2 linked regions of the Xenopus tropicalis genome follow. The protein of the gene in region 1 interacts with the protein of each later gene in a biochemical or structural test. Links are inferred from orthologs where the notes say so. Each region holds a gene or a part of one and is shown on either strand. Other genes may lie near its edges.

What was found.
Region 2: the proteins of eya2 (region 1) and six1 form a complex in vitro, tested with the Homo sapiens proteins (2 studies listed by IntAct, with this or other methods). The link is inferred for Xenopus tropicalis from reciprocal best matches to the Homo sapiens genes EYA2 and SIX1.

What each region holds. Positions count from the first base shown.
Region 1 is NC_030686.2:37,332,783-37,337,199, forward strand, and holds part of eya2 (eyes absent homolog 2), read right to left. Parts: intron 2,851-4,417; coding exon 2,783-2,850; intron 2,093-2,782; coding exon 1,915-2,092; intron 1,755-1,914; coding exon 1,576-1,754; intron 104-1,575; coding exon 20-103; intron 1-19. UniProt on the Homo sapiens protein: Functions both as protein phosphatase and as transcriptional coactivator for SIX1, and probably also for SIX2, SIX4 and SIX5.
Region 2 is NC_030684.2:102,414,169-102,419,171, forward strand, and holds the start of six1 (homeobox protein SIX1), read left to right. Parts: upstream 1-1,500; 5' UTR 1,501-1,601; coding exon 1,602-2,161; intron 2,162-4,889; coding exon 4,890-5,003. UniProt on the Homo sapiens protein: Transcription factor that is involved in the regulation of cell proliferation, apoptosis and embryonic development. Plays an important role in the development of several organs, including kidney, muscle and inner ear.

The sequences.
Region 1 (4,417 bases):
AAATCATATTCCAGTTTACCTTCCCGTATCTTGTTGCAAAGGTTCCCGTGAGTAACGAGTGAAAAATAATGATTGTTTCATCCAAATCCCACACGAACACGCGCTGTAACATAAAAACAAGTACTGTGGGTTAGGTTTCACGCATGGAACGGCCATAAAAACAGTCCAATAACTTCTCCATAGAGCTTTCATTTTCTTTGTATATTTGGAGCTTCCATATTGCTCTAGCCTAGCTATTCTGTAGAACAGATTCTAATCCTATTGATGACACATGACAATGCTTGGCATAAGGATTTTTTTTAATCTAGGCAAATGTGTAATAGATTTGCCAGATTTTAAGTAACAATGGTGTGCAAGCTGGAGTGATATCCCCCCCTCCCAGCAGCCGCTCAACAGAACAATGGGAAGGGAGCAAGATATCAGCTCCCAGGTATCCCAGGTATTAGAACAGCACTCAATAGTAAGAAATCCAAGTCTGGCTTGGGACTCCTCCAGTTACATAGGAGTAGGATACACAATAGGTTACCTGAAAGCAGTTCTAATGTGTAGCGCTTGCTCAGACTCAGACACAATGCACTGAGATGGCGCCTACACACCAATATTACAGCTAAAAAAATACATTTGTTGGTTCAAAAATAAAACTTTAAATTGTAAAGTGAATTATTTCTTATGTAAACAGTGTAATTCAGAAATAAAAAGCCCAAAGTCTATCTGGGAACTTGTGACTACACTCTCTGTTAGAGAGTAGATTGGAGGAGAGATAAAAAGCGGTCACAGTGACCGTGGCAGATTCATATCGCAGTGGTACAGGTGTGGGCAGTACAGTTACTGCTCTTTGAGCAACAAGACCACACAAAACCGAGCCCATCAGCAATTTAACATTGCTCCTTGAAATAAACTGTTTCTGGACAGTCTCTCACAAACATTGTGCTAGTTCTTGGCAGGGAGTCAGCTGACTCAATGCAAACAATCACCAGGAAAAAGTGCAAACAGAAAAAAAGCAACAATAACATCAATATAAGACGGTATTGTGATATTTTTGGACACAAGCCCCATGTCATTGTTAATGATGACCATCTTTTTTTTCAACACAACATTGCTAGAGTTGTCCCATTGATATAGAGGAACATGTGTTTCTGCCTGTTCCCCCTGACCTGACACAATCGTGTTCCAAATCATTTAATTCCAAAGTCAGTAAATCACAGCTCATTAATTGTTTGGTACTTTTTTAGCAAGAGCAGAGTTCACGCTGTAATCCGCAACATCTGGGAAAGTTTGGCACAATAGACTATTACCAGTCTGCATTTATTATGACTGGCAACGCTGCCCTCGAGAAGATATTTGGAATGTTCCATTTAAGACAAAAAACCTACCCCTCACTTATAATTCTGTTTTCTTTCATGTCCAAATGCCATGTTTGGTGGCGAGGATGGTGTAAGGCATATCCATGCATAGCAATAAGTACCAATGCACCCTAGAACACCCTTGTGGTGGAGTAGTTGTATATGTGTATATGTTTATTTCTATACTATCTATACACACACACACGTATACATGTTTGTTGAAATGACATACCTCTATTTCATTATCCACTGCAGGAGATGGGTCATTACTTCTTTTAGACCTTCCGCGTAATTTGGCGTCAGATCCTCGCTGTTGTCGATCATTTTCTGAATCTTTAATTGGGGTGGAGGGACCATTATGAGTGTTGTACTCCCCTGAAACATAATGGGTAGTGCAATTTAATTCCTCCTCTGCAAACACAAAAACATTAAGGTTTTAAGATGCTGATGAAGGTTTGAAGATGCTTATACAGTGACTTTGCCTTCATAGGCACTTTTGTCTGTTTGACCCAGTGGCCAAACCCACTAAAGGACAGGGTCCCTTCAACCAATCAATACTTGCATGACCTACCTGATAGTGATTCTGTGCTCTGATTGGAGACATGGTGAGAGGATTCATGGATTGAGTATGCGGCTGTAGACAGGGCTGTGGGGCTGATGCTGTTTGTGGGTACATATGGAGAGTTGTACGAAGAGCTGTAATACTGTGGGTACTGGCCTTGACTGAAGCCTGGATATGATGAATATTCCTTAAAAAAATAAATGTGAACCTTAGTATTAGATACATAATAAAGGATAAATGTCGGGCTTGGACTGAGCTCTTTAATATGGAACAAATAGTGGCAAATGCCCTTGGCCCTACATACAGAGGACTTAGCTAACTAGTAGTTGTAGGTAGAAAGTGTGAGGGTGACGCACATACGGTAGGGCAAGGTAAGAATAGAGCAAGATAGCAAAATAATGACAATAGTATATGATGGGTTAAAATTAGTGCCAGTAGGGTAAAGCATTAGATGGCATGATGGTCAAACTATTGACAGTAGGACAGGATAGAAACAGAAGAACAAGATGGCAACTGTAGAGTTGGGCAAGATGGAGACAGTAGGGCAAGGCAGTGGCAGTATTATGAGATGGTTAGAATAGGGCACACAACCCTCAGTGCTTGGCAAAAGCCAAAGGACCATGGATAAGACAATTCTATACAAATAATGGTTACCCACAATGGTGTTTGTCCTGGCCCTGCCCCAGTGAAAGATGACCCTGGCTGAAGTAATAAACTCCAGACCTAAAATGACTTCTGAATCCGATAACTGTCAGATAACTTCCAACTAAGTACCACCTAAGTGGATCTCTCAGAGTAGTCTGATCGTTCCAATACAGATATATACTCCTGCGCAAAACATGATGCAAAAAGACAAGGTTTCCCAATTGAATCTTACCTGGTGCACACTTCCAAAGGCTCCTGCGTTGGTCAAACCGTTGGCTCCTTGATAAATACCCGATGGACCTAAGCAAAGAGTCAATAAACCTTGTTACAAGGAACATCAGGCTGCTTTAAATCCCACCCCATTTATCTTAAATAAAAACAGATTTTTATAATACTTTAAAACCTAGATGTCCGGCTTTGGGCTGTTTGAAGATATTGCGGCTTGAGTTCTATTATTTCAGCAGATTTCAATATTAGATATGGGTCAACCTCTCCTCCACCAATGCAAGACGATTTTGGACCACCGATTAGAATCCTTATTCCTCTATTTCAAGTGTGGACAGGGTTTCAGTATATAGTCTCCCTGCGTCCGCTCCCTAAAGACCTTGTTTGTTTTTATTTTAAGATTCTGGATTAACTAGGGAATGAACAGCTGAATAAACGACTGCGTGCCAGGGGCCAGTGAGAAAGACAATTTTTGCCAGGAAGGAGCTAGACGGGGATATGGTTCTAGAAGCAATTTGCTACCACATGTAGCTTCCGAGCGTAAAAAATTGAGTATTCGAAATGTTAAACTGACTCTCTGTTTATGGGAATCTCTGCAGCACATCACCCAGGACAATGGGCATGGATAATCTATTGTCTTCTGCCTGGTGATAATGTGTTTCTAAATGGCTAAAAAATCTCTTATGATGCTTGAGATGTTTGCTACCATGGGTCATAGAAAATGTTGGCACATATCCTTGGGTAGACATGACTGGGATATCCCACAATGCATCGCTCGGATGTCAACACATTCTATGATTTTCTTTGGCTTTCACAAAATTCAGTATCTTTCATTTACCAAAGCACAGTTGGAAATCAGGACCACATACTTGGAAGAAAAATGCAAGTTTGTTTAAGAAAAAGGATATTGTATGATATTCCAGAACATGATGTGTTTTGGAGGACAGTAATATCAATAAATTATGTAACACCATCTGAAAACTTCTGACGCAGCTGCACCAGTCGGCAGAGGATAATCATTAGTCTAGGGTTCCTTAGCCTTTTTATCATGGACCCAAATATAGTCTAGTACTAAGCAATTCTGAGATAAAGTCGGATTTTTTCTTACTTCTAGATAATTTCGAGATTTACAAATGCGATTTCGGCAGAACTTGATTTTTTTTGTTATTGTTATGCCAAAAATTTCGAGTTTTTCTAAAATAAAAAAAGAATTTGGCAGGTTTGATCTGTTGAGTACCAGACAGAATAGTAGAGGAATAGAATAGTCAGTGACAGCCTGTCCTTGAACTTTCAACGAGAAGTGAATCCCCTCATTGTTTTCTATTTCACCCAGCTTCAAGGGGAAATTAATGCCCTCATTGGTTTCTATTTCACACATTTTCAAGGGGAAGTTAATGCCCTCATTGGTTTCTATTTCACACATTTTCAAGGGGAAGTTAATGCCCTCATTGGTTTCTATTTCACACATTTTCAAGGGGAAGTTAATGCCCTCATTGGTTTCTATTTCACACATTTTCAATGGGAAGTTAATGCCCTCATTGGTTTCTATTTCACACATTTTCAAGGGGAAGTTAATGCCCTCATTGGTTTCTATTTCACACATTTTCAATGGGAAGTTAATGCCCTCATTGGTTTCTATTTC
Region 2 (5,003 bases), on another chromosome or scaffold:
GCTTATTAGCACATAAACAAACACTCACCCACCCATGTTTTATATGTATCCAGTTCTACCATATTGCTTATTATCTGTATTCCATTTAAGTGTGCAGTGCTTTCATGCTTGTGTAAATATTCACATAAAAAATATACAATATGTGTATGTTAATTTGGGCCTATGTAATACAATACCATGTTCATTTAGGACTAAGTGATCCAGGTTCAATTATGTACCAGCCAGAGAGCATTTTATATGTGTTTGTGGCAGTGGTTGGTACAACTGAGATCCCTTCCACTACACCTACTTATAACAGGGGAAAGGGGAATTTGATAGGGAGCAATATTGTTCTCTGTCCCATTGGCTGTGGGCACACGTCTGGCCAACTGTGTCTAATTAATGCGAATATCCTTTATTAGGTCATGTGATCATTCTTACCTGATAGCCAAAGTGTATGAAATGACTAGTCAGTCAGTGCCTGAGGATTGCTTTCCCACCTCTCTGTTCCCTTATCTGAACCTATTGTTCTTATCTCTGAGCCTCCAGTGCTACCAACAATACATTATCTGTGTTTACAAAGCCTAATTGTTTGGGAAATCTTTTTAATAATTGCTTTCAAACAAGGTGTGCAAATGAGGATCAACTTAATTAGAGTGGGACTTCTCTGGGCAATTTTACTAAATACCCTCTTCAAATAAACGAAATATCATGCCTCAGAGTGTTTTCTTTCAGCCTTGCCATTCTCTCTTCAATTAGCCAAGTATTTCCCCACACCCACGGGCCATTATTTCCTCTGGATTCCTGCAAAAGAGGGCAAATTATACGGCTTAACAAAACAAAAAATAATATTTAGATGTTGGATTGTAAGTAGTTCTAATATATATATATATAGATATAGATATATAGATAGATAGATAGATAGATAGATAGATAGATAGATGATAGACACACATAATATAACGCATATATTTGTGTGTTACCCTCACAAATCCAGAGGAGGTTTGTGTTGCCCCAGCCTAAGGAGTAAGATTGAGATACTAGAAGGATTACGACTTGGGAACCATACTGCAGCCCTATGTTAAAGCTCCATCTTGGAGTTAATTATTCATCCCTGAGCAGGAGCCATTCATTAAGCTATGATTTATTCATCCCCAACATTAAGGTAATTAAATAGCAGCTCACCTGAAATGGACAATGGCATTTTTTGATTTTTCTCTCTCTCACACACACACAAAGGCCCTGCTGGAATAATTGATTTGTGCAGAGATGAGCCCTGCTCCCCTTAGGTGATACTTGAGACGGGGCTCATGTTGCAGGGCCCTGACGTGTCTCCCCCCTGAGGGCAGCAGCATCACCCCTGTGCCCTCCCCACCCTCCAGCCTGTGCAGCTCTCTGTGCATATCCAGCCCCCGCAGGCGCAGCCAATCAGTGCGCGCAGCCAATGGGAGCTTTAAGGAGGCAGCTAACTGGAGAGAAACAAAGTTGTTCCAGCTCCGGGCTGCAGCATCCCCCAGACAAGCCAGTACTTTCCCTGCGCTCAGAGCCGTGGATATAGCGTGTGCTCCCCGTGTATGCCTTTACGTGTGCGCTGTGGGCCCCTGGCTGTGCCACACTGAGCCATGTCTATGCTGCCTTCCTTTGGCTTCACTCAGGAGCAAGTGGCCTGTGTGTGCGAGGTGCTGCAGCAGGGAGGCAACCTGGAGAGACTGGGCAGGTTCCTATGGTCCTTGCCAGCCTGTGATCACCTCCACAAGAATGAGAGTGTGCTGAAGGCAAAGGCCGTGGTGGCATTTCACAGGGGCAACTTCAGAGAACTGTATAAGATACTGGAGAGCCATCAGTTCTCCCCGCACAACCACCCCAAACTGCAGCAACTCTGGCTCAAGGCTCACTATGTGGAAGCAGAGAAACTGAGGGGGAGACCGCTGGGGGCAGTGGGCAAGTACAGGGTCAGAAGGAAATTCCCCCTGCCCAGGACAATCTGGGATGGAGAAGAGACCAGTTACTGCTTTAAGGAGAAGTCCCGAGGGGTGCTGAGAGAATGGTATGCCCATAACCCTTACCCGTCTCCCAGGGAGAAGCGGGAGCTGGCTGAGGCCACTGGACTAACCACCACCCAGGTCAGCAATTGGTTCAAGAACAGGAGGCAAAGGGACAGAGCGGCGGAAGCAAAAGAGAGGTAAGGGGCACAGGGAGATGGCACTCTAGCAGGAGACAGCAGCCTGGAGCCGAAACGTTAGCACTCAGAAAGGAAGCCCCCAGGCCCAAGCCCTCAGCCGTGTAGCCCATGATCCCTGGGCAGCTAAAGCTTTTCTGGACTTCTGATCCCAGTACTAACCCCCCTCCACCACCGCCACACACACACACATTTGTGGGAGAAAAAGACCACCTACCCCTGGCTCCATTCCTACTCCTGGTGTGTGCCCTGTTTGGGAATCCCACGTGGGTTTGCATGAAACACATTGCCAGTCAGCCTGGCAGCGATAGGGTTACAACCCCCCCCCCCCCCCATGCCAGTATTAGGAAAGCTGAGCTAAGAGACAAACTGTGGTTCATACTTGGTGAGATGGTGACCCTCTCCCCCTAATGGATACACCGCCAAATTAGGTAGAAGCTCTGAGTACACGTTCCCTGTGACACCAGAATAAACAAACCCAGGGCAGCAGGGGAACAACAATTTTTTTAGTTCAGCACATGCTCTACTTCAGCACAGGGTGTACCATCCCTTTCCCACTGACTGGCGCTATAGGGGACTTTCTCACAGCATGTGATTTGATTTGGGCCTGCAAATATATCAGCAGCAAATGTCACACTTACATATTTCCCCCTCCCCCGGAATGTATTTTTGTCCCTTGTTTAGAAATCCCCCCCTTCATGGGGCTCCCTTGGATTTAGATTCTTCTTTTAACAAATGTATTTGTTGCCTGCGATTCTATCATTTAAAACCCAGAACTTCATGAAGCTGTCAATATAAATCTAAGGTCTTTCGTGTTCCATTATGTCGCTGTCTAATCAAACCGCCCATCTGAGTGTCTGTTTTACCATTATTTGTAAAACTGTCTTACATATAGTTACATAGCAGTTAAGCATGAAATAATACACCCGTCTGCTTAGTTCCAACTTGCCTAAATAAATCCTAATTTGTAGTACACTCAGAAGGAAACCTAAAATGATCTGTAGTTGTGTCAAGTTTGTCTAAAAATATAAAAATAAATCTAGATATCTATCCACCTATCGCCCTATCTTTTGTTATGAGTCAGTCCATCTGTCTTTATCAGTTTATCTCTCCATCTACCAATCATCTATTAGTCTGTCTATCCGTCTGACATATATCAGTCTATGTATCCACCCATGTAGCTAGTATATGTTCTGTATCCTTGTGCTAGTCTATTTGTTACGTGTAGTTTGGTAGGGAAAGCAAAAGAAAGGGGGGCTACAGTGAATACACATGGTACATATATGGCATTGTTACTTTATTTTAGAATCCACATTAGGCTGAGAACCCTGAAGTCCCGCAGGCCAGGAGTGTGACCTATTCCTCAGCAAAGGACTGTCCCTTCATATGCCCCTGAATAGACAGGACTCTTTAGTTCGCTTTAATTAGGGGACCCAAGCCCTTCACACTAACCACATACAGTTATAGGAGTTTATACACGAACAAAACTATTTAAAAAAGCATACGAGTGCCTCCATTTGGCCTGTCAGAAAATTTCTTAAAAAGAAGGGTATTTTTTCTGCAGGCAAAAGCTCTGCACATTCTCTGAGTCCGAAAAATGACAAAAGTAGATGTTAGACAGAAAGATAGATCGATAGATAGAAACATTACATTAATACAGGTAAATAACAGATACACTGTCGATGGATGGATGGATGGACAGACAGATGATTGATGATAGATGATAGATAGATAGATAGATAGATAGATAGATAGATAGATAGATAGATAGATAGATGATAGATAGATAGATAGATAGATAGATAGATAGATAGATAGATGATAGATAGATAGAATCATTATATCGATATATAGATGACTGTAAACTTTACACAAATATAGATAAATTGATATGTAGACAGGTAACAGAATGCTTTACAAAGATATAGATACATATATTTTAATTATTACATTTAGATAGTTAATTCGACTAGATAAGAATACATAGATTAATAGACAATTCGACCATGTAGTTTTATTTCTGTTTATATCTAATAATCTATTCTACAGTATTTTGATAATTGGGTCAATGCACAGTAAGACATATTAAATACTGATAGACAGGTAAATAATTAGATAAATAGACAATCGACTAGGTAGTTTATCTATTTAAATTCGGACGAGGAAGTTTTAAATCTGTTTTTACTCATATCCGTTTATATCTAATCATATATATCATAGAATATTTAGATAATTGGTTATACACCTTAAATAAATAGTTTACTGTTGGACAGATAGAAGTCACCATACATACCTGAAAGATTTAGACAAGTAATTAAAAGACTAAAATCTTAAATATCTAGATAAAGTGGGGTATATTTGAACTGATTCCATTGAGTGATAGGACTGGGTAATAGCACAGCGCTGGGAATGTTTATTCGTGCTGTATTGCGTACTATAGACTATGGCTACGGATTGATTGATGATGGTTAGATATAGACAGACCCGCATTCGTGCATAATGCTTCTAATGTTCTATAACTGTGTGTCTGTGTATATGCTTGCGTTATGTGTGTGTATATAACATGCGCAAAAGAATATGTGTGTCAGACGCTGCTTCTCTAGCTCCTGATAGATTATATACAGTGAATATAACATCTTATTTCCATGTCAATAATCTGACGATTAGTTTTGTTAACTGGATGCAATTAAGACGTGCTGCCTGTTATTAAGTTATTTCTTGTTCCTTTTAGGGAAAATACAGAAAACAATAACACATCTAGCAACAAACAGAATCAGCTGTCACCCCTAGATGGAGGAAAGTCGCTAATGTCCAGTTCAGAAGAGGAATTCTCCCCCCCACAGAG